4 linked regions of the Sus scrofa genome follow. The protein of the gene in region 3 interacts with the protein of the main gene of each other region in a pairwise test. Links are inferred from orthologs where the notes say so. Each region holds a gene or a part of one and is shown on either strand. Other genes may lie near its edges.

What was found.
Region 1: the proteins of MCM10 (region 3) and CEP72 interact in a two-hybrid assay, tested with the Homo sapiens proteins (2 studies listed by BioGRID and IntAct). The two-hybrid records come from large-scale screens. The link is inferred for Sus scrofa from reciprocal best matches to the Homo sapiens genes MCM10 and CEP72.
Region 2: the proteins of MCM10 (region 3) and TRIM37 interact in a two-hybrid assay, tested with the Homo sapiens proteins (2 studies listed by BioGRID and IntAct). The link is inferred for Sus scrofa from reciprocal best matches to the Homo sapiens genes MCM10 and TRIM37.
Region 4: the proteins of MCM10 (region 3) and MCM6 interact in binary tests that used the Homo sapiens proteins (3 or more experiments, as listed by UniProt). The two-hybrid records come from large-scale screens. The link is inferred for Sus scrofa from reciprocal best matches to the Homo sapiens genes MCM10 and MCM6.

What each region holds. Positions count from the first base shown.
Region 1 is NC_010458.4:79,587,508-79,593,253, forward strand, and holds the start of CEP72 (centrosomal protein of 72 kDa), read right to left. Parts: upstream 3,752-5,746; 5' UTR 3,726-3,751; coding exon 3,647-3,725; intron 1-3,646. UniProt on the Homo sapiens protein: Involved in the recruitment of key centrosomal proteins to the centrosome.
Region 2 is NC_010454.4:35,284,915-35,290,115, forward strand, and holds part of TRIM37 (E3 ubiquitin-protein ligase TRIM37), read right to left. Parts: intron 2,474-5,201; coding exon 2,355-2,473; intron 1-2,354. UniProt on the Homo sapiens protein: E3 ubiquitin-protein ligase required to prevent centriole reduplication. Probably acts by ubiquitinating positive regulators of centriole reduplication.
Region 3 is NC_010452.4:48,492,020-48,497,220, reverse strand, and holds part of MCM10 (protein MCM10 homolog), read left to right. Parts: intron 1-56; coding exon 57-285; intron 286-1,568; coding exon 1,569-1,713; intron 1,714-2,608; coding exon 2,609-2,727; intron 2,728-3,879; coding exon 3,880-3,993; intron 3,994-5,201. UniProt on the Homo sapiens protein: Acts as a replication initiation factor that brings together the MCM2-7 helicase and the DNA polymerase alpha/primase complex in order to initiate DNA replication. Additionally, plays a role in preventing DNA damage during replication.
Region 4 is NC_010457.5:15,950,516-15,955,716, reverse strand, and holds part of MCM6 (DNA replication licensing factor MCM6), read right to left. Parts: intron 4,594-5,201; coding exon 4,465-4,593; intron 2,877-4,464; coding exon 2,715-2,876; intron 1-2,714. UniProt on the Homo sapiens protein: Acts as a component of the MCM2-7 complex (MCM complex) which is the replicative helicase essential for 'once per cell cycle' DNA replication initiation and elongation in eukaryotic cells.

The sequences.
Region 1 (5,746 bases), on a different chromosome or scaffold from region 3:
GGGAGAAAATAGTTTCAAATGAGGCAACTCGCAGGGGCTTAATCTCTAAAACATACAAACAGCATACACAACTCAACAGCAAAAAGCCAACAACCCAATTGAAAAATGGGCAAAAGATCCAAAAAGACATTTCTCCAAAGAAGATACACCGATGGCCAACAGGCACGTGAAAAAATGCTCAACATCACTCATTATTAGAGAAATGCATATCAAAACTACTATGAGGTACCACTTCACACACCTGTCAGAATGGCCTTCTTGAGTAAGTCTACAGATGCTGGAGGGGATGTGGAGAAAAGGGAACCCTCCTACGCTGTTGGTGGGAACGTAAATTGGTCCAACCACTGTGGAAAACAGTATGGAGATTCCTCAGAAAACTAAAAATAGAACTACATTTGATCCAGCAATCCCACTCCTGGGCATATATCTGGATAAAACTTTCCTTGAAAAAGATACATGCACCACTTATGTTCACTGCAGCTCTATTCACAATAGCCAAGACATGGAAACAAACTGAATGCCCACTGACACATGAATGAATTAAGAAGATGTGGTATATACACCCAATGGAACATTACTCAGCCATAAAAAGGAACAAAATAATGCCATTCGAAGCAACATGGAACTAAAGACTCTCATACTAAGTAAAGTAAATCAGAAAGAGAAAGGCAAATACCATATGATATCACTTATATCTGGAATCTAATGCATGGCACAAACAAACCTTTCCACAGAAAAGAAACTCATGGACTTGGAGAACAGACTTGTGGTTGCCAAGGGGTAGGGAGTGGGATGACTGGGAGTCTGGGGTTAACAGATGCAAACTATTGCATTTGGAGTGGATAAGCCGTCAGATCCTGCTGTACAGCACAGGGAACTATATCTAGTCACTTATGATGGAACATGATAGGGGATAATGTGAGAAAAAGAATGTATATGTATGTGTGACTGGGTCACTTTGCTGCACAGTAGAAATTAACAGAATACTGTAAACCAACTGTAATGGAAAAAATAATCTTAAAAATACTTACATTAAATGTAAATGGTCTAAATACACTATACAAGACAGAAACTGGCAGTGGATAAAAATAATATACAATATACACGGCCTACAAGAAACTCATTTCAAATATTATGATATAGGTAGTTTAAAAATGAGATTGTAAACAGATGGGTAAAGATATGCCCTGCAAACCAAACCAAAGAAAGCTGGAGCGGCTACATTAAGATCAGATAAAGCAGATGTCTCACCACAGAAAATTATCAGGGATAAGGAGAAATATTACATATGCTACAAAGGTCACTCCAAAAAGAGGACTTAAAAATCCTAAAAATGTATGCACTAAACAGCACAGTTTCAAAACATAAAGAGTGAAAACAGTAATATAATTCCACAATTATAGTTGTAATTTTCAATACTCTTCTCCTGGTAATTAACAGAATCACTACATGGAAAATCAGCGGGGCCATAAAAGACCCGCACAACATCTTAAGTCACCAGGATCAAACGGAATTTTACATTCCAGTAAGTGACAGGGGACACGCTCCTCCCAAGTGCTCTTAGAACATTTACCAATAGAGACCAGGTCTTGGGCCATTAAACAAACCTCAACAAATTTAAAACAGTACAGAGCATATGAAATATGTTTTCTTTTTTTGTTTTGGTGGGTTTTTTTTTTTTGTTTTTTTAGGGCTGCACCCGTGGTATATGTTGGTTCCCAGGCTAGAGGTTGCATCAGAGCTACAGCTGCTGGCCTAAGCCACAGCCACACCAGATCTAAGCTGCATCTGCAACCTACACTGTGGCTCACGGCAATTAAGGGTCCTTAACCCACTGAGCGGGGCCAGGGATGGAACTGGAGTTCTAATGGATACTAGTCTGGTTCACTACCACTGAGCCACGACAGGAACTCCCTAGAGTATGTCTTCTGACCATCATGGAATTACACCAGAATCAATAACAGAAAGAAAGAGGAGTTCCCTTCATGGCACAGTGGTTAACGAATCCGACGAGGAACCATGAGGTTGCGGGTTTGGTCCCTGCCCTTGCTCAGTGGGTTAACGATCCAGCGTTGCCGTGAGCTGCTTGCGGTGTAGCCTGGGAACCTCCATATGCTGCGGGAGCGGCCCAAGAAATAGCAAAAAGACCAGAAAAAAAAAAAAAACCTAAGAAAATTTCCATATGAATATGAAAAGACACGCTTCTGAATAATCCATAGGTCAAAAAGGAAGTCAAGAGAACTCATGAAAAAGAGCAAACTAAATGAAAATACAACAAAACCTGCAGATGCAGCTAAAGCTGTGCCTAGAGGGAATTTTTTTTTTTTTTATGCTTTTTAGGGCCGCACCAGTGGCATATGGAAGTTCCCAGGCTAGGGGTCCAATTGGAGCTACAACTGCCAGCCTACACCACAGCTCCCAGCAACACCAGATCCTTAACCCACTGAGCAAGGCCAGGGTTTGAACTTGCATCCTCATGGATGCTACTCAGATTTGTTAACCACTGAGCCATGACGGGAACTCCTAGAAGGAAATTTTTAGTACTAAAAGTTTACGTTATATAAAAAGGTCTCAAATTAGTAATCTAAACTTCCATCTGCTGAACTGAGAAAAAGAGCAAATAAATGCAAAACAGGAGAAAGAAGAATAAAGAATATAGAACCAATAAAATGTGAAAGCAGAAAACCAATGGAGAAAACTCCAAAGTTAGCCCATTGAAAAGATTAATAAAATTAATAAACCTCTACAAAGACCAAGACAGAAGACAAAAATGACCAATAGCAAGAATAGAAGAGTATCACACAGACCACAGACATTAACAGGCTAACAAAGAAATACCACAAACTCTATACATATAAATTTAACAACTTTGACGAAAAGGATCAGTTGTTTTCCTAAAACCCCAGACAACTGTAACTCACCTAAAATGAAGTTGATAACATGAATAATTCTATAACAACTGGAGAATTTGTAATTTCAAAGTTTCAAATACAGAAACGTCCAGGCCCAGGAGGTTTCACTGGAAACTCAGCATCAATTTTACACAAACTCCTCTAGAAAACAACTTACCAGCGATTTCATGAGCTCGGCACTACCTTGATGCCCAAACCAGACAAAAACAGGGAAAAAGAAAACTAGCGACCAATACCCGTCATGAGCCCAGGGACAGAGACCCTTGCCCAGGAGGGGCCGCGTCCAGGAAAACACCCACAGGAGGAGGACGGGCTGGTCCTCAGAGACGAGGGCGCTCGGGCCTTAGATTAGAAAGCCCATCTAACCCACTTCATCACCCAAGCGGTCTTACCGAGCAACGCAAAAAGCACCCCTCAAAGGGCTCGGCCAGCCGGGCGTGCACGGGGCACCCCCGGGCCCCACCTCCCTCGGGGCGGGATCCGCTCCCTCCTCCCCACGCTCCCGGAGGGCGACCCCCACCCCCACCCCCGCCCCCCCGGCCCGGCCCCGACTCACCCGCCCCCGGCCCGGCCCCCGGGGCGGCCAGCCACCCGCTCCCTCGCCCTCGAGGCCCGCGACCATTCGGTAGCCGCGCGGGAGCGTTTTGGCCCCTCGGGCCTGACCGACCGCAGACCCCCGAGGCGGGAAGCTCGTGCCCCCGGCCAGCGCCGCCCGCCCGCCGCCCAGCGCGCACCCAGGTCGCAGTGAGGCGCCAGGCCGCTCTTCTCCCGGATCTTCTCCTCACACAGCACCAGCCGCGCCGCCGGCGCCATGCTTTCAAACGGCGCGCACCTGCCCGCGCTCGCCCGCGCCTGCGCGCTGGACGGAGGAAGGGGCCGGGGGCGGGGCCGGGGGCGGGGCCTGGGGCGGGGCCGGGGCCGAGGACCTCCGTCGGGTGTGGGGAAACCGCCAAGGAAGCCTGGAGAAGGGGTTGGGAAAGTCGAAACACGCCCCAGGGCTTACCTGAGGACCCTCCCTCACTTGGGGACCTGCCCCACCTGGGAACCCTACCCACCCCTAGATTTGCCTGCGTCCTGGGCTCCGGGCGCCCCAGGTTCTGGGGGGGGGGTTCTAGGGGTCGTCCTCTGTCCCCACCCTCAATTTCCAAATGATGGAGTATGAAGTCCTGCTTTAAGACTCATAGCTGACACGGGGTTCATTGTCCTGTGTCTCACCTTTAGAGATTTCCATTCTGGGTCTGAGGCTGCCCCCTCCCTTCTGGGTCTCCTGGTGTCTGGAGGTGCCCCTGGTACCTCTCACCCCAGCCTTGACTATCACAGCTCCCAGGGGTGGGGGGGGAGTAGCCTGGGGGCTATAGATGGGGTATAGGAACAGGGGGTTCAGGGAAAGGTGTAGGGTGCACACAGAGGGCTGAGGTGCAGGGGAGGCATCAGGGGAGCCAAGTCTCTCCTGAGCAGGGAAGGCTTCCAAACTCATGCACAGGCCTCTTGGGGCCTGAGTCATTCACTGACCACTCAGTAAGACTTTGAGTCAAGACTGTCACGTAACTGACAAAAGTTCTAGTCCAGATACCGCCCAGTGTTCTGCATCCTACATGACCGAGGAGGGCCTCCGGACTTCCAAGGCCAGGCTTGTGGTCACCAACCAGGTGCCCTTGAGTGGAGCTGCTGCAGCCAGGAGGCTAGAAGCAGTCAGCAAATATCCTGGCTATCAGAAGTAAATGGAGGCAAACAAAAGGTTTCTGTCACTGTCCCCCCAAAAAAGAAGCTTGTCAGCCAAGCTGCAGTCCACACTCAAACACCACTGCTTCCTCCTGCTGCCGGTCACCTCAGGCTGGAGGTGTTGAAGCCTGGTCCCGAGGCTTTTACAGCTTTCTAGAACATTCCAGGGAGGCTCCAGGCCCATCAAACTTGAGCCCCAAATGGAAGGGTCAGCCCATCTCAAGGAAGAGGTTGGCAACAGAGACCTGAGGATGGGCATGTGTCAGCTCTGTGGGCTGGGTGGCCAGAGGGGTCCTCTAGGGCCCTGGCAGCCTGGCAGCCTGGCACGTCCTAGGCTTCTCCTACACTTGGACTGGCCTTGGCTGGGAAGGGGTGGGGGCAGGAGGAGAGGGGAGCTCGTCCAGGCCCCAGAAGCAGAGTGGCTGCAGCGCTGGCTGGGCGCGCCTGGGGAACGGGGCAAGTTGTCCTGAGTCACCACCTCTCCGTCCTGGGGTGAGCACCGTCGCTGTCGCTTCACCACATGGACGTGCCAGCCAACCGGGTGCCTTTGGACCAAACGTCAGTGTCAGATTCGAGCCCAGGCCTGCGCTGCGTCTGCACCAGGCCCTCCGAACAGGCGTCAGGGAGCTCCCCAAGCCTGAAGACCCTCACAACCACGTCTCCGAGCTCCACTGAACACACACACGCACTTGTTCACACTCATGCCCCTTTACACACCTCTGACAGCCACTCTGACCCTGGGCCCGTGGGAGGTACCACCCAGTGGCCAGTGCTCTGCGGCCTCACCCGACCCCCTGGACCGAGTGAAGGAGGGTCTCACCGATGACAGCTGCTGGCTCGTTCTTCACGAATGTTGGACAAAGGAACCCTTTCCTGGGTCTTTTTCTGCACAGGGTCAAGGCCAGCATCTATGAGCTGTCAATGCTTCGTTTGGCCAAGTAGTAACCTCCATCCGGCGTGAGGTGAGAGGCAGGGAGGGCCTCCGGAGGCTGCTGGAAGGGAAGCAGGTGGAGGACTGGGGGCGCCTGTGGACATCGTGCGTCCTCCCTGGCTCCTCTTAACCCAGAGAGCAGAGTTGTGTTTCACTGACGAGTGCGTGGAAACGCCTGTAT
Region 2 (5,201 bases), on a different chromosome or scaffold from region 3:
TGCTGACATGTTGTGAATTTTTGAGGTGAAGGCAGTTATTGAAGAATCCTTGCATTACTGGGATAAATTCCACTTGATCATGATGTACGATCCTTTTAATGTATTGTTGGATTTGGTTTGTTAGCATTTTGTTGAGGATTTTTGCATCTATGTTCATCAGTGAAATTGGTCTGTAAGTTTTTCTGTGGCATCTTTGGTTTTGGTATCAGAGTGATGGTGGTCTCATAGAATGAGTTAAAATTGGCTATTAACTGGCCTCTGATACCTAAGCAGTGGTTTATTTTTTCTCCTTTCTTGCTTTTACTTTTTATTTTTGGCCACACGCATGGCACACAGAAGTTCACAGGCCAAGGACAGAATCTGAGCCACTGCTATGAGCTGACAATACCAGATCCTTAATCCCATAAGCCATTAGGGAATTCCTTTATTTTTTCATTTGGCTGCAGCATCCAGTGGCTTGATGTGGGATCCCAGTTCCCAGATCAGGAACTGAACCCAGGCTACATAATTAAAGTGCCAAGTCCTAACCACTACAACACAAGGGAACTCCCCTGATGGCTGGTTTTTCAACTGCTCTCCCGGCCCAGCTCCCACCATCGCCTACGCATATCCAGTGTACCCAAGAACTACAACCTGGTCCCATCTGTAACTCTGGCACCTGACCCTTAAGGAGTTGGCACCCCTAGCTGAGTTATTCAACTCAACCAGTGGTTCTCAACTGGGGATGATTTTGCCTCTCAGAGGACATTTGGCAATATCTGGAAATATTTTTGGTTACTGTAATTCAGAGGTGGTACTACTGGTAGGTAGTGGTTAAAAACCAAGAATGCTTCTAAACATTCTACCATACACAGGGCAGCCCTCTAATACAAAGAATCACCTCACCTAAAATGTCAATGGTGTCAAGCAGAAAACACTAAATTAAGCAGTAGGTCCAGGAATTACTTTATCACCAGCATCAAAACAATGCCAGGCAAATTAGAAGCAGTACACAAACGCTGCATAAATAAAAGGATCCTATAATTACAGCACTTGCTACAAAAATTTAAGGCACTAAAATTTATAATCAGCATGTACAAATACATGGAAACTAGCTAATCCCTACAGGTCAGTTCTATAAAGATCAACAATCATGATATTTTCCCCCTAATGTTATAATAATCAACACTTCACTTTAGCAGTTCCTCTGTGGCTCAGTGTGTAAGGACCCAGAGTTGTCAATGTTGCAGCTCAGGTCAATGCTGCAGTTCAGGTTTTATCCCTGGCCTAGGAATGTCTGTGGACCACGGTGTGGACAAAAAAATAAAATTAAAAAAACAACAAAACAACATTTCATTTTAAATATCTTTTCCATTAAATCTCATCTACCGAGATAATGATGCCTGCCACAGGAGCACCAACAAAGAGGAAAGATCAAAATGTTTAGTGTTCTTTAACTAAAGAACCTGAACACACCACCACCCACACATATTCTCAGGGCAGCCAGAGGTAGATGCTGGCACCTGTTATATATGCTCTGAGCTACAATTCATCAATTGTTGAAAATTTAAATGAGTGCAGAGGTGGTAGGTGGCACAGTTCCACTGAGAAATGAAAAAAACTTCAATGTCAAATATCATTAATAAAGTTGATGTATTTTTCTAACAAATAAAGGACAAGCAAGGACAACATACACAGCCTTGTTTCAAGCAGCTTCCATTAACTCAAAATTACAAAATGTGTTCTATGCTTTTAGATAAAGCATAATGAACCTGGAAGAACATGTAGAAGAATACCAGAAATGTAACTGAGAATAAACTAGCAGAGAGAAGTTGATTACCACACAAAGGATTTTTTTTAAGTAGTTAAATTTTGGAATACTTCTCTAAGAGCAAGCAATCCATGAACATTAATCACAACTAATTAAAGATGAGTTAATCTTTAAAAGATGAGGTACTTAACATTTACTACTCTAATTAGTTGTTTGGGGGTATGGTTTTCCCATAAGACAGTGCACATATCCAATTTTGTCTTTTCATATATAGCCAAAAAGCAATGTCTACCTGTAGGTGGCATAACACATTTAATGAATGAGCAAATGAAGTATCTACAGATCTTTCCCCCTGCAAGTGCCCCTTCTAATAAGTGTCCCTTTATGTAGTCAGTTACCCGTTTTGCCTTCCCCCATGCTCAACATCTTAGTAAATCAAACTTAGTGGAACACTGAAGGCTGTTTTCAGATCAAGCATGTCAGACAGATATCTCAGTAATTTTTTATTATACCCACTACTCCCCACCACCACCAAAAAAAAAAAAAAAATAAAAAAAAATCATTATTCTGCCTCCCACCCAATTATGGCTTTATCATTCCTTACCTTCCTCTGGGGCAGATGAAGCTCCTTCGGGTAGTATAGGCTGTAATTCCCCAGTTTCAGAATTATTTTCCAAGTCAGTCATTTGCATTCCTTCCAGACGACCTCCTTTAGCATTAGTCCTCAAAGAGAAAGAAAATAACCTGATATTTTTGTATAACTAGTCAGGGATATAATAATCTAGATTGTCTTCTTGTCCAGAAACTAAGGAAACTAAGTAGGTATAGGGCACTGGTGTTTAATGCTAAATTCAAGTTTAATTCTTAAAATTTTCACTAGAAGACTCACAATGAAAGGTTATAAAGTGGTAGACTGCATAAATGTCAATATCCTGGTTATGACGATGGATCAGCATTTTGCAAAATGCTCCCATTAGGGGAAACTAGGTAAGGTACACAGTTATTATTTCCTATAACTGCTTATGAATCTACAATCATCCCAGTAAAAGTTCCTGTTTAAAAATAAATGTAGGAGTTCCCGTCGTGGCGCAGTGGTTAACGAATCCGCAGTGGTTGCGGGTTCGGTCCCTGCCCTTGCTCAGTGGGTTAACGATCCGGTGTTGCCGTGAGCTGTGGTGTAGGTTGCAGACGCGGCTCGGATCCTGCATTGCTGTGGCTCTGGCGTAGGCCGGTGGCTACAGCTCGGATTCAACCCCTAGCCTGGGAACCTCCATATGCCGCGGGAGCGGCCCAAGAAATAGCAACAACAAAAAAGACAAAAAGACAAAAAAAAAAAAAATGTAAATAGAAGGCCTAAATAATATATTCTCATCAATATGGAAAGACTTGAGATACACTAAGTGAAAAAACAAGGTGCACCTTTTGTATTAAAAAACCTATATGGTCACAGTTACTTAAAATATGCATAAAAACTGAGGAGATACAGCATGTATAAAATATTAAGAACAGCGATTTCCCTTGTTGTGCAATGGGTTAAGGATATGGCCTTGGCCCTGTGGCAGCTCAGGTCACTGCTACGGTGTGGGTTCAATCCCTGGCCTGGGAACTGTCACATGCCATGGCTGTGGCCAGAAGAAGAATAATTAAGAACAGCAGGAATGTATGTGGGCAGGGGATTGGAAATAAAAGCAGATGGGAATCAAAATGGAGAATTTTAACTTAATATTCTTTTTTAACTTCTATTTTTTGAATGATTTGTTGTTAGTATTTAAAATTTTTGTTTACACTAACTTAAATCAGGCAAGGAAAAAAGACACAGCTGGAAAACATCACATAAGCCAGACTAATGATATAATTAACCATTATTAAAAATGAGGGTTTTAGCTAAGAGCTTTACACATTTATAAAGGATTTTACAGTTTAGACCAAAGTGTACATTCATACACATTTAAACATTATGACTAACGGCAGATTTAAGTCTCCAAAATAAAACATAAAAGTGAGTTGCAGCTTCACCTTGAAAGGAACATGTATAAATCCAGGTTGGGGAGTTCCCATTGTGGCTCAGTAGTAATGAATCTGACTAGAACCCATGAAAACACAAGTTCGATCCCTGGCCTTGCTCAGTGGGTTAATGATCCGGCGTTGCAATGAGCTGTGGTGTAGGTTGCAGATGTGACTGTGGCCAGCAGCTGTAGCTTCAATTCAACCCTTAGACTGGGAACTTCCATATGCTGTAGATTCGGCCCTAAAAAGCAAAAACCAACCAAACAAACAAACAGGTTGGGTAACGGGGAGGACAAGACAATCTTTAATGATTATAACACCTTTCCACTGCTCAAGCTTGAATTGAAACAGAAAACTAAGCCACCATCTGTCCTTGTAGATTTGGTAATTATCCAGATCTTAAAATTCTATAAAATTTTAAGTAAAAACTTAAGGGATATTAATCTTTCTCTAAATTTAATTGAAAGTTCTTTTCAGTCTCCAAGGTAGAACTATTCCATTGTTTAAAATTAGAAATGTATTTAATATCCGTAACCTAGATCAGAAGGATATTAATTAATTGAGCACATTCACAGACAATACTTTCCACAATCACTCTCTTTTGAATAGATGCAAGTTTAACTGACGTGGCTGGGATTTGAGTTTCTTTCCTGGGAGAGAGATAAAGGTACCGATGACCATATATGCAAATCTTTTGGGAAGATTCCAAATGAGAGTTTTGGAGGACACCTTCACAGAGGAAAAAAAAAAAATGAGATGAAAGCAGAAAAGCAGTGTTAAAATTGCTAGAAATGCTTTGTTCCACATGAAATTCATGTAAAAGACCTAAGGGACATAATACAACCCAGCATGAATGTCTTTGAAAAGCGTGGGAGAAATGGAAAAAAAGTTGACAAAAAACAAAAATCTCAAAAGGCATAGTTCACACAAGGTTATACAATATTATTATCCTAATTCGGTGAAAATGAGCTCTAACATATTTAAACAACTACCAGGACTATCTCATTCTGTTAAGAAAAAAAAAAAGTAAGGTCTCTGATACTTTAAGGTTACTTTTTTTTTTTTAGGGCCAAACCTGCAGCACATGGAAATTCCCAGGCTAGGGTAGAACCAGAGCTGCAGCTGCTGGCCTATACCACAGCCACATCCAAGCCACATCTGCAACCTATGCCACAGCTTGCAACAACACTGGATCCTTAACCCATTGAGCAAAGCCAGGGATTGAACCTACGTCCTCATGGACACTAGTCGGGTACTTAATCTGCTGAGCCACAACGGGAACTCCTTAAAAGTTACATATTTTTTGTCTTTTGTCTTTTTAAGTCCATATGGAGGTTTCAAGGCTAGTTGTTGAATTGGAACTGTAGCTACCAGCCTACACTGCAGGCACAGCAATGTGGGATCCTCACCATGCCTGTGACCTACACCACAGCTCACAGCAATG
Region 3 (5,201 bases):
TTGCCTGCAGCCTCCCAGTCTGTGTGTTTAGTTTGTGACTGCCTATTTCTTTAAAGATTTCTCCAGAGCTCAAGTGAAGCTGAGAGCCCAGCTGTGCCGTCCTCTTCTCGGGAGCCCCTTTCTTGTTCTCCACCAACTGGGGCCAAGCTCCCCAAGATGAACGGAACCCCAGCCATTCAGACGCCCAAGCTCGGAAGAGGCATCTCAGAAGGAGATGATGTCCTCCTTTTTGACAAGTCACCACCACCAAGACCAAAACTCAGTGCTTTAGCAGAAGCCAAAAAGGTAGCTGCCATGCGTTATCTTTACCACTGGAATGTGCATTCTGAGAGACACGGTTGGAGTTTTAAACATGATGTACCTGTGGCCAGGAAAGACAAGTCACCTCATGCTTGTTTATGGGTCATGACAATTAGAGTTGAAAGAATTTTAAATGATAATGGGTGTCGACATAGTGCCATTAATTTAATACAGCCATTATCTCCATTCTGTTTCCTGTCAGGCTGTAGGAGATAACTTAGAAGATACTGTTTTATAGCTAGACACCTTAGATTAGGGGGAAACGTCTTTGGAATTGTTTCAGCAATTGAATTGTCAAATAATAATTAGGAGAAGCCCTCTTTAAAAGAAATCTTACACAGGAGTTCCCGTCGTGGCGCAGTGGTTAACGATTCCGACTAGGAAACATGAGGTTGTGGGTTCAATCCCTGCCCTTGCTTAGTGGGTTAATGATCCGGCGTTGCCGTGACACGGCCCAAGAAATGGCAAAAAGACAAAAAAATAAAAAATAAAAAAAAAAGAAATCTTACACAGAAGTCCAGTCTGCAAACAGATAGAAGCTAAGTTGCTCTGACTGAAGTGGGAGTTGGGGGTAGTCAGAACCCCACCTGCTCAGCAGTTTCCACCTCTCCTCCTGAGTTGCCTGTGCCCCGACTAGAGCCTGTATTCTCTGTTTTGGGTAACAGCCAGAACCACAGGAAGGGCAAAGGCTGCCTGCAAGCCAAAGCTGTACCTATAATAATCGTAATAGCAATTACATGATATATTTCTAATATTCTGTGATATGTGCATACATTCTGTTTACTAGGTATGGGTACCTGTTTTGCTGGCATTATCTCATTTTATTCTCAGAACCCCAACTATAAAAGATAAGTTAGTGCTGTCATCCCCATTTTATAAATGTGGAAACTAAGGCTGAACAATTAGGTCAGGTTACATACTAGTAAGTGGCAGAGCTGGAACTCTATCCTAATTTTGTCTATTCTGAAACAAACTTCCAAAATGTTTGTGTGGTTCCTCTATGGGTCTCAAAGCCTGTGGATTAGCTAATGTTAAAGTAATTATTGATATTGAACTGAGCTGAAAGTTGGCTTCCCAACTTAGAGACCTGTCTTTCATTCTTTTAAAGTTTCATACTTGTGTTAACACTGCCAAGTAAAATGAAGATATATTTTGCTAATACATATCTGAGAACAGCCAGAATTTACTGCTTAATCACTGGAAATGGGCCCAGAGCTACAGGTGCTTATCTTTTAGATTTTCAGCTCCCTCTCTTTCTGTTTTTCTAGTTAGCTGCTATAACCAAATTAAGGGCAAAAGGCCAGATTCTTACAAAAACAGACCCAAACAGCATCCAGAAGAAACTAAAGAAACCTCAGGATGTCCTGGAAGTGAAGGAACGTGTGGAAAAGAACAGCACATTTTCTCTGCAAGGTACTGCAACTTTAAAACCTAGCAATGTGAAAGAGACACCACTTACAAAGGAAACATTCCAAAACGTAACCAGCTTCTCTGACATCAAAAGTCATTATTTTACTTCCGTTTACCTCTGTGAGGAATACCTAAATAGAATTTCTACAGCGAGAACTGATTGTTTCTTATAATCACATTAAATTAAAATGGAATTATGCACAACTTGAAAGCTTGAGATTATTTCATTGAATCTTTGCACATATATATTAGTATAAAGATTTACTTTGAAAGAAGTAGAATTCCTTGGCTTTAAATTGCCCGGTTTTTATCTTTTTTAAAACTCTGAAGTTGGCAGTGTCATTTTAACATCAGTTTGTGAATAGGGATTTTGTTGTTATCTCTGGTCATAATTGGCTCTTATTTTAAGGTGAAAAAGAGAGTCTAATTTAAACTACCCCTATTCTAGTTCTTACTTCTCAACTCACCTCTTCTTTTTTTTTTTTTTTTTTTGTCTTTTCTAGGGCCATACCCAAGGCAAATGGACGTTCCCAGGCCAGGGGTCCAATCGGAGCTTTAGTCGCCAGCCTACGCCAGAGCCACAGCAATGCGGGATCTGAGCTGTATCTGCAACCTACACCACAGCTCACGGCAGCGCCAGATTCTTAATCCACTGAGCGAGGCCAGGGATCGAACCCAAAACCTTATGGTTCCTAGTCAGATTCATCAACCACTGAGCCACAACGGGAACTCCTCAACTCACTTCTTTAAGAGCCTTATTTTCTGGTACCAAGGCGGGGGTGAATTCCCTTTGAAGGGTTGTAGAGGGAGGCAGAGGAAATAGGAGCAGCAGAGTCGGTGAGACTCACTGGCTGGGAAATGCCTCTGTAACGGCTCACACTTTTCCTTTTTGCTCTAGCTGAGGATGAACTGGAGCCTGCCAGGAAAAAAAGAAGAGAACAGCTTGCTTACCTGGAATCTGAGGAATTTCAGACACTTCTCAAAGCAAAATCAAGGCACACGGATGTTCTAAAAGAGGTATGAAAGAGCCCAGAAAGTCCAAGGTGACAGAGATATCCTCAGACCTGGGCACTTTTTTTTTTTTTTTAGGGTGTATCTGTGGCATGTGGAAGTTGCCTGACTGGGGATTGAATTGGAGCTTCAGCTTGCGGCAATGCCGGATCCTTAACCCACTGAGTGAGGCCAGGGATGGAATCCTCGGGGACACTATGTCGGATTCTTAACTCACTGAGTCGCAATGGGAACTCCTGCCCTTCTTTTGACTAACAAATGACTAAGGAGATGGTCGTATGTTATTTCTTTCTACTGGAATTGAAACTCATTCAGGAGAGGTGCTCAGGCCGACCCTGAAAAGACCTTACAGCAGAGCTCCTTGCTCTTGTCACCACCAAAGACCTTGCCTTTGTGCCTTGTGTAGCTGTGCTGGCTCCAGCACTGTGACCACATCCTACAGTAAAGATTTCTCTGCGCTTTTACCGTCTCACTATCATTCTAAACAAGCAGGGCTTGCTCCTGCCAAGTGCTTTGTCTTGAGAATATCGAATGGACTGGGGAGGCATCTGGCACCTCTGTAGCCGAGTCTGTATTGCAGCAGTAGAAATAGTTCCCTTGGGAGTTACTTCGTGGTGCAGTGGAAATGAATCCGACTAGGAACCATGAGGTTTCGGGTTCGATCCCTGGCCTCGCTCAGTGAGTGAAAGATTAGGCGTTACCATGACCTGTGGTATAGGTTGCAGACATAGCTTGGCTCTGGTGTTGCTATGGCTGTGGTGTAGGCTGGCAGCTGTAGCTCCAATTAGACCCCTAGCCTGGGAACCTCCATATGCCTCAGGTGCAGCCCTAAAATGCAAAAATAAATAAATAAATTTCTTTAAAAAAAGAAATAGTTAGCTTTTGGTGCACACTTGGCCTGATGACTTTGTTAATCATGTCAATAGTTTAAATTCATATTTAGTGTTTTACACATCACCAGATGCTTTCATACCCTCTTTTTGCCTATTAAGAGCTTGTTTCTAGTTAACTATCTTTGGCTTGCAGTTCATTGAGCCACTACCACGTGTCCTCATACGGTTAGCTTGTCTTTTCAGTTCTGATTTGATTATTATTGAACAGATGCTTGAATATATATTGGATCTGGTACGAGGTCTTCTGGGTGTCTTGTCATTCCAGGCTGAGGCTGAGCTACAAGAGCAGTATTTTGAACCCCTGGTGAAGAAAGAACAAATGGAAGAAAAAATGAGAAACATCCGGGAAGTGAAATGTCGAGTGGTGACGTGCAAGACGGTGAGTGCAGGAGACGGCTCTCAGCGGGGAGACTCGGGGGCCGTGGGGCCGTGTCTTGTGACTGGAGTCCTGCGAAGTTCATTTCATTGGGCTGGAAACTCAATGGCATGTGATAGCCCAGGACCTGTCTTCCCGTGACCCTCATGGCAGTGCCTTTGTGATGAGATGTTCCTCATTTGGCCACAGCTCGCAGTTCTGCGGACCAGCCTCTTCCCCCTTTACCTTTGGGCTTGAGTATTCCTCTCTCTCCTCCTCAAGTTTGAGCACATCCTTAGTCCATAGTTCCCAGTCCCTGGGGCCTTGTTTGAACAACTTGAGCACCAGGCCAGGGATTGAACCTGCACCTTCATAGTGACCCAAGCTGCTATAGTTGGGTTCTTTTTTTTTTTTTTTTTTAATGATTTTTATTTTTTCCAATATAGTTGGTTTACAGTGTTCTGTCAATTTTCTACTCTACAGCAAAGCGACCCAGTCACACATACATATATACATTCTTTGTCTTCTCACATTATCCTTCATCCTGCTCCATCCCAAGTGACTTGATATAGTTCCCAGTGCTATACAGCAGGATCTCATTGCTTATCCACTCTAAATGCAACAGTTTGAATCTACTAACCGTAAATTCCCAGTCCATCCCACTCCCTTCCCCTCCCCCTTGGCAACCACAAGTCTGTTTTCCAAGTCCATGAGATCCTTTTCTGTGGAAAGGTTTATTTGTACTGTACATTAGATTCCAGATATAAGTGATATATGGTATTTGTCTTTCTCTCTCTGACTTATTTTTCACTTAGTATGAGTCTCTGTTTCCATCCATGTTGCTGCGAATGGCATTATTTTGTTCTGCTTCATGGCTGAGTAGTATTCCATTGTGTGTGTACACCACATCTTCTTAATCCATTCATCTGTTGATGGATATTTAGGTTATTTCCATGTCTTGGCTATTGTGAATATTGCTGCAATGAACTATGGGTGCATGTATCTCTTTCAAGGAAAGTTTTATCTGGATATATGCCCAAGAGTGGGATTGCTGGGTCACATGGTAGTTCTATATATAGTTTTCTGAGGTATCTCCATACTGTTTTCCATAGTGCTTATACCAATGTTTTTTAAGGTTTTTTTCTTTGTTTTTTTTTTTTTTTTTGCAGTCGAATTCTTAACCCACTGCTCCACAGCAGGAATTCCTTTTATTTTATTTTTTTATTTTTTTG
Region 4 (5,201 bases), on a different chromosome or scaffold from region 3:
GTTGCAGGTTCAATCCCTGGCCTTGCTCAGTGAGTTAAGGATGGAGCTGAGGTGTAGGTCGCAGACACGGCTCAGATCCTGCATTGTTGTGGCTCTGGCATAGGCTGGCAGCTGCAGCTCCGTTTCAACCCCTAGCCTGGGAACCTCCATGTGCCATGGGAGCGGCCCAAGAAATGGGAAAAAGAAAAAAAGAAAAAAATAATAAATAAATAAATAAATACAAACCATGAAACCATCTAAGTGCTTAAGGAAATCCTGACAGAATTCTTTTATAATCTTAAGAGTAGGGGGAAGCCTTTCTAAGGAAACTAAGCAAAAAATGAACAAAGAATATGATCATAAAAGGAGATAGAAATGACTTTTAAATATATGCAAAAAATTAGTTTTATTCAGAAAATGTATTTGTGTATACATGTCTATTTATCATGTGAATCATGATAATTTCATGTGAATATGCTACCTACTGAAAACCGCACCCACCCCCCAAAAAAAGGGAGAAGAAAAATCTATTAGAGAGTCCCCAAAGACACATGTCAATTCTCTGAAACTTATTTTAGGAAACATTATAATGGGGGAGAAAAAAAAAGTACATGCGTCAGCACGGTTTTTAAGAATTCCTCTCCACTATGACCTGTTTTTTGTTTGTTCTCTTCAAACTCTACTATATTCCTCCAAATACCCTATGCTCTTTCTGAAACTTTCTATCTTCACTCTAAAAATGGCTATCAGGAGTTCCCGTCGTGGCTCAATGGTTAACAAATCCAACTAGGAACCATGAGGTTGCAGGTTCGATTACTGGCCTTGCTCAGTGGGTTAAGGATCCAGCATTTTCGGGAGCTGTGGTGTAGGTCGCAGATGCAGCTCGGATCCCATGTTGCTGTGGCTGTGGTGTAGGCCCACGACTACAGCTCTGATTCAACCCCTAGCCTGGGAACCACCATATGCTGCGGGAGTGGGCCTAGAAATGGCAAAAAGACCCAAAAAAAGGCTATCAAAATTCTATGCACTTTTCGGAGTTTCTGTCATGGTGCAGTGGAAAAGAATCCGACTAGGAACCATGAGGTTGCAGGTTCGATCCCTGGCCCCACTCAGTGGGTTAAGGATCAGAGGTTGCCATGAGCTGTGGTATAGGCCGTAGACACAGCTCAGATCTGATGCCACCATGGTAGTGGCTATGGCTGTGGTTGGCAGCTATAGATCTGACTGGACCCCTAGCCTGGGAACCTCCTATATGCCACAGGTATGGCTCTAAAAATTAAAAAAAAAAATTCTATATACTTTTCAGTGATCATGTTTGAATGTGGTATCTCCCCAGATACTCCTTCTTTGGGAAAAAATTCACTAATCTCTGTACTCTTTGCTGGTAATAGCTCAGTCTCCCACTCATATTTAATATGCCTAATTAAACATGTCTTGCTCTCACCAAATTATCAGTAATGGAAGACAGGAGCTCGTTTATTCATTAAATGTCCATTAAATGTCAGAAGAATCGAAAGATAATCTTTGACTCTTGACTTGATAATAAGTCACATAGGGCGAAAGTATTTTATAATTAGTAAAGCACCATTATCAGAGAATTAGAAAAAATAAACAAAAAAAAAAAAGAAAGAAAAATTAAACAAAAAGGAAAAAAAAGCCAAAAAATAAAACCTATGGAATAGAAATGGTTAATGAAGTCAGAACGGTGGTTACTTCTGGGGAAGGGTGCAAACTTTCTAGAATGATGTAAATGTTCTATATTCTGAGTTGGGTGGCCCCAAGGGTGTATGTAAAAAGTCAAACCTGTACATTTTCCTCTATGTGAATTATACATCAATCGTACTATTAAGAAAAATAGCCAAACTCTTTCCTCAAACAAAATCTAACACTGTCAAAAATATAAAGCTAGATAAAAGTAAGCTGGTTTGCTCGAAGCAGAAATGAGGGCATGAATGTTCTTCCACTCTGCTCCCTGTTTACTCCTCTAAATATCCACTGTACAACCCAGGGCTCGAAGAACAATTTAATATCCACACATTATACAAACCTAAGGAAGACAACTCTCCTTAGGAGAATGTGGGCTACGTCATTCTACCTGTATCCCCAGTCCAGAGGCCTGGCGCGTTGTAGGGTTTAAACAAGTTTCTCTCAAACGAATGGCATTAATCTTGAACTCACTACTATATATTTATCTATAATCTACATTATGATCATTTCATTACTATTAATCTAACTATTAAATTCATTAAATGCTTGACAGCAACCTTCTACAAGGGAAAAATCCCACAGTCACGTATCATATGAGCAATCAACAGTCACATTAAAAAAAAAAATCTGGGAGTTCCCATCGTGGCGCAGTGGTTAACGAATCCGACTAGGAACCATGACGTTGCAGGTTCGGTCCCTGCCCTTGCTCAGTGGGTTAACGATCCGGCGTTGCCGTGAGCTGTGGTGTAGGTTGCAGACGCGGCTCGGATCCTGCGTTGCTGTGGCTCTGGCGTAGGCCGGTGGCTACAGCTCCGATTCAACCCCTAGCCTGGGAACCTCCATATGCCGCGGGAGCGGCCCAAGAAATAGCAACAACAACAACAAAAGACAAAAATAAATAAATAAAATAAAAAAAATAAATAAAAGGAAAAAAAAAATCTGCAGCTAATGCTAGTATGTCCTACACCAAAGCTGGCTTACATAAGTCAACAAATGATTTCTCTATTATGTTGAAGTGATTTTGATACCTCATCACAGCAGTGCATCCGAGCCATTGCTTCAGAAAGACGGATCATGCTCTCGAGCTGTCGCACTGTAATCCTCCATGAAGACTTGGTTACTCCAGAACCATCCCTCTGGCGAAGGCGTTTATACTGTTCCACTATGAAGTCCTCTGACTCTTTAGAAATCTGTGTCAGAACATCAATGAAGTCAGCATTTTTACTTAAACATAAGTTTAAGAGCTTCCCAGGTGGAGATATTCTGGGGGAACTGAGAGGGTCAAAGCTTTGAAACCAATGACAAGGAATTAATACTGAAATGTCTTTTAAAAGAAACTGATACTTAGGACTGTGAATTCCATATACTAATTTTATGAACAGGGAGACAGCAGAGTTAGTATTTAAGCAAATGACCATTTCTAAAGGACATGTATACCTAAGATGCCAAAGCTCATTAAAGAAGCTACCATTCAGGCTATTCTTGAGCAGCTAATTAACTTATGCAGTTTTTGGGAAAAAGAGGAGTCAATAATTAATAGTAGTCCCACTTTATCTGTAGCTCCATTTTCTGTTACTCATGATCAACTGCAGTTTGAAAAGATTACATAGAAAATCCCAGAAATAAACAATTTATATGTTTTAAATTGTGCACTGTTCTGAGTAGTATAGTGAAATCTTATGTCACCCAATGTCCCACCCAGGGTGTGAATCATCTCTTTTTCCAGTATATCCATGCTGTATATACTACTTGCCTATTAGTCACTTAGTACCCATCTTGGTTACCAGATCAACTGTTACAGTAACAAAGGGTTTGTGCTCAAGTAACCCTTATTTTACTTAATAAAAGCCCCAAAGTGCAAGAATAGTGATGTTAGCTATTCAGTTACTCTCTTATTGTGCCTAATTTATAAATTAAGCTTTATCACAGGCATGTATGTGTAAGAAAAAAATAGTATATATAGGATTTGGTACTATCTGTGGTCAAAGGCATCCACTAAGGGTCTTGAAATATATCCCCTGTGGATATGAGGGAACTGCTATATATATATATACACACCAGATATTTTGATAAAGCTTAGTATCTACTGAATAACAAAGTGAGGCATACTAAAGAATCCTAAGTTTTTCAGAGCTAGGAAGTAAGCATGTTAAGGAAGCAGACCAAGGTAACAGAAGGACCAGCATACAGTGATGGAGAACAAATGCCTCTGCAAATTAAAGTGATGCTTCTCTTGGGACATGAGAGTCAATCCTGATTATTTTAGATAACCAAGCGAAGGAGCTGGAGAATTAAAATCTAAGGATAACTCCCAAAAGTCAAGCCAGAAATAGTGTAAAAACCTCAATGAGAATCAAAGTTTTTGATTCTACTTTAGCAAAATGCTTAAAAAAAAAAAAAAAAAAAGGCATTATAGAGGTTTATTTCAGAAACAAATGTCCAACTCAATACTCTGGATCCAGCACAGAATCCAATAAACTACATCAATTACTGTAAGATAGTTATTCATGTTCATTCACTTACAAAAATCTTTTTACTGGCATCTAACAAGTAAAAGAAATGTTAATTTTTCACTTTTAAAAAATTCCCTTTTCTCAGCTCTCACTGAAGAAAACTGTTCTCAAAAAAAAGCCCTCAAGATCAAACGAAAAAAAACAAATAACTTTAAAAAAAACACCCGAACAAGTCAAGTTCAGTTAATTTCCAGGTGATGCTTTTGTTTAAATGTAACTTTCACATACTCATAATGCCTGATTACAATTCAAAAAGGCAGGTTACCTTGGGTTTAAACTGTCTTGCAAAAAGAAGATACCTCCTGATATCATCAAGGGAATAGACACGATCAATTGAATCCTCAATTCTTGAATGCAAGTCTACTATTCGCCTGGCAATGGCATAATCTGTGACCTAATTCGAAATCAGAAAATCACTTTGATTAGTTATAACAATAAACACTTCAGGCTATCTCAGGCATTAAGAAATTATTTATGGCTAACAAACTCTAATATGCCACCGTAAGATGTATTAATGGGTTCAAGTTTCTGAGAAAAGTTTCTTCAGTTTTAATCAAAAGTTTAAATGTATACCTTTAAACTGCTCTAAGACTACTCCTGAAAGAATTAACTGATTTAATATTTTTTTCCTTTTATGGCCACACCCATGGTATACTGAAGTTCCCAATCTAGGGGTTGAATCAGAGCTGCAGCTACACAGCCATGGCAATACGAAATCTGAGCTGGATCTGCAACCTATGCTTCAGCTCACTAGATCCTTAACCCACTGAGCCAAGCCAGGGATCACACCTGCATCCTCATATAGACAATGCTGGGTCCTTAACTTGCTGGGCCACAAGGGAGAACTCCAGAAATAACTGATTTTAATATGACAGAAGTAAGACTTCTAGGGCCCTCAGTATATGACAGTCACTATTGCCCTAAGTATATCCAGAAGCAATAATTCATGCAACCCTCACAAAAACCTTATTAGGTAAGTAATATTACCCCCATTTTACAAAT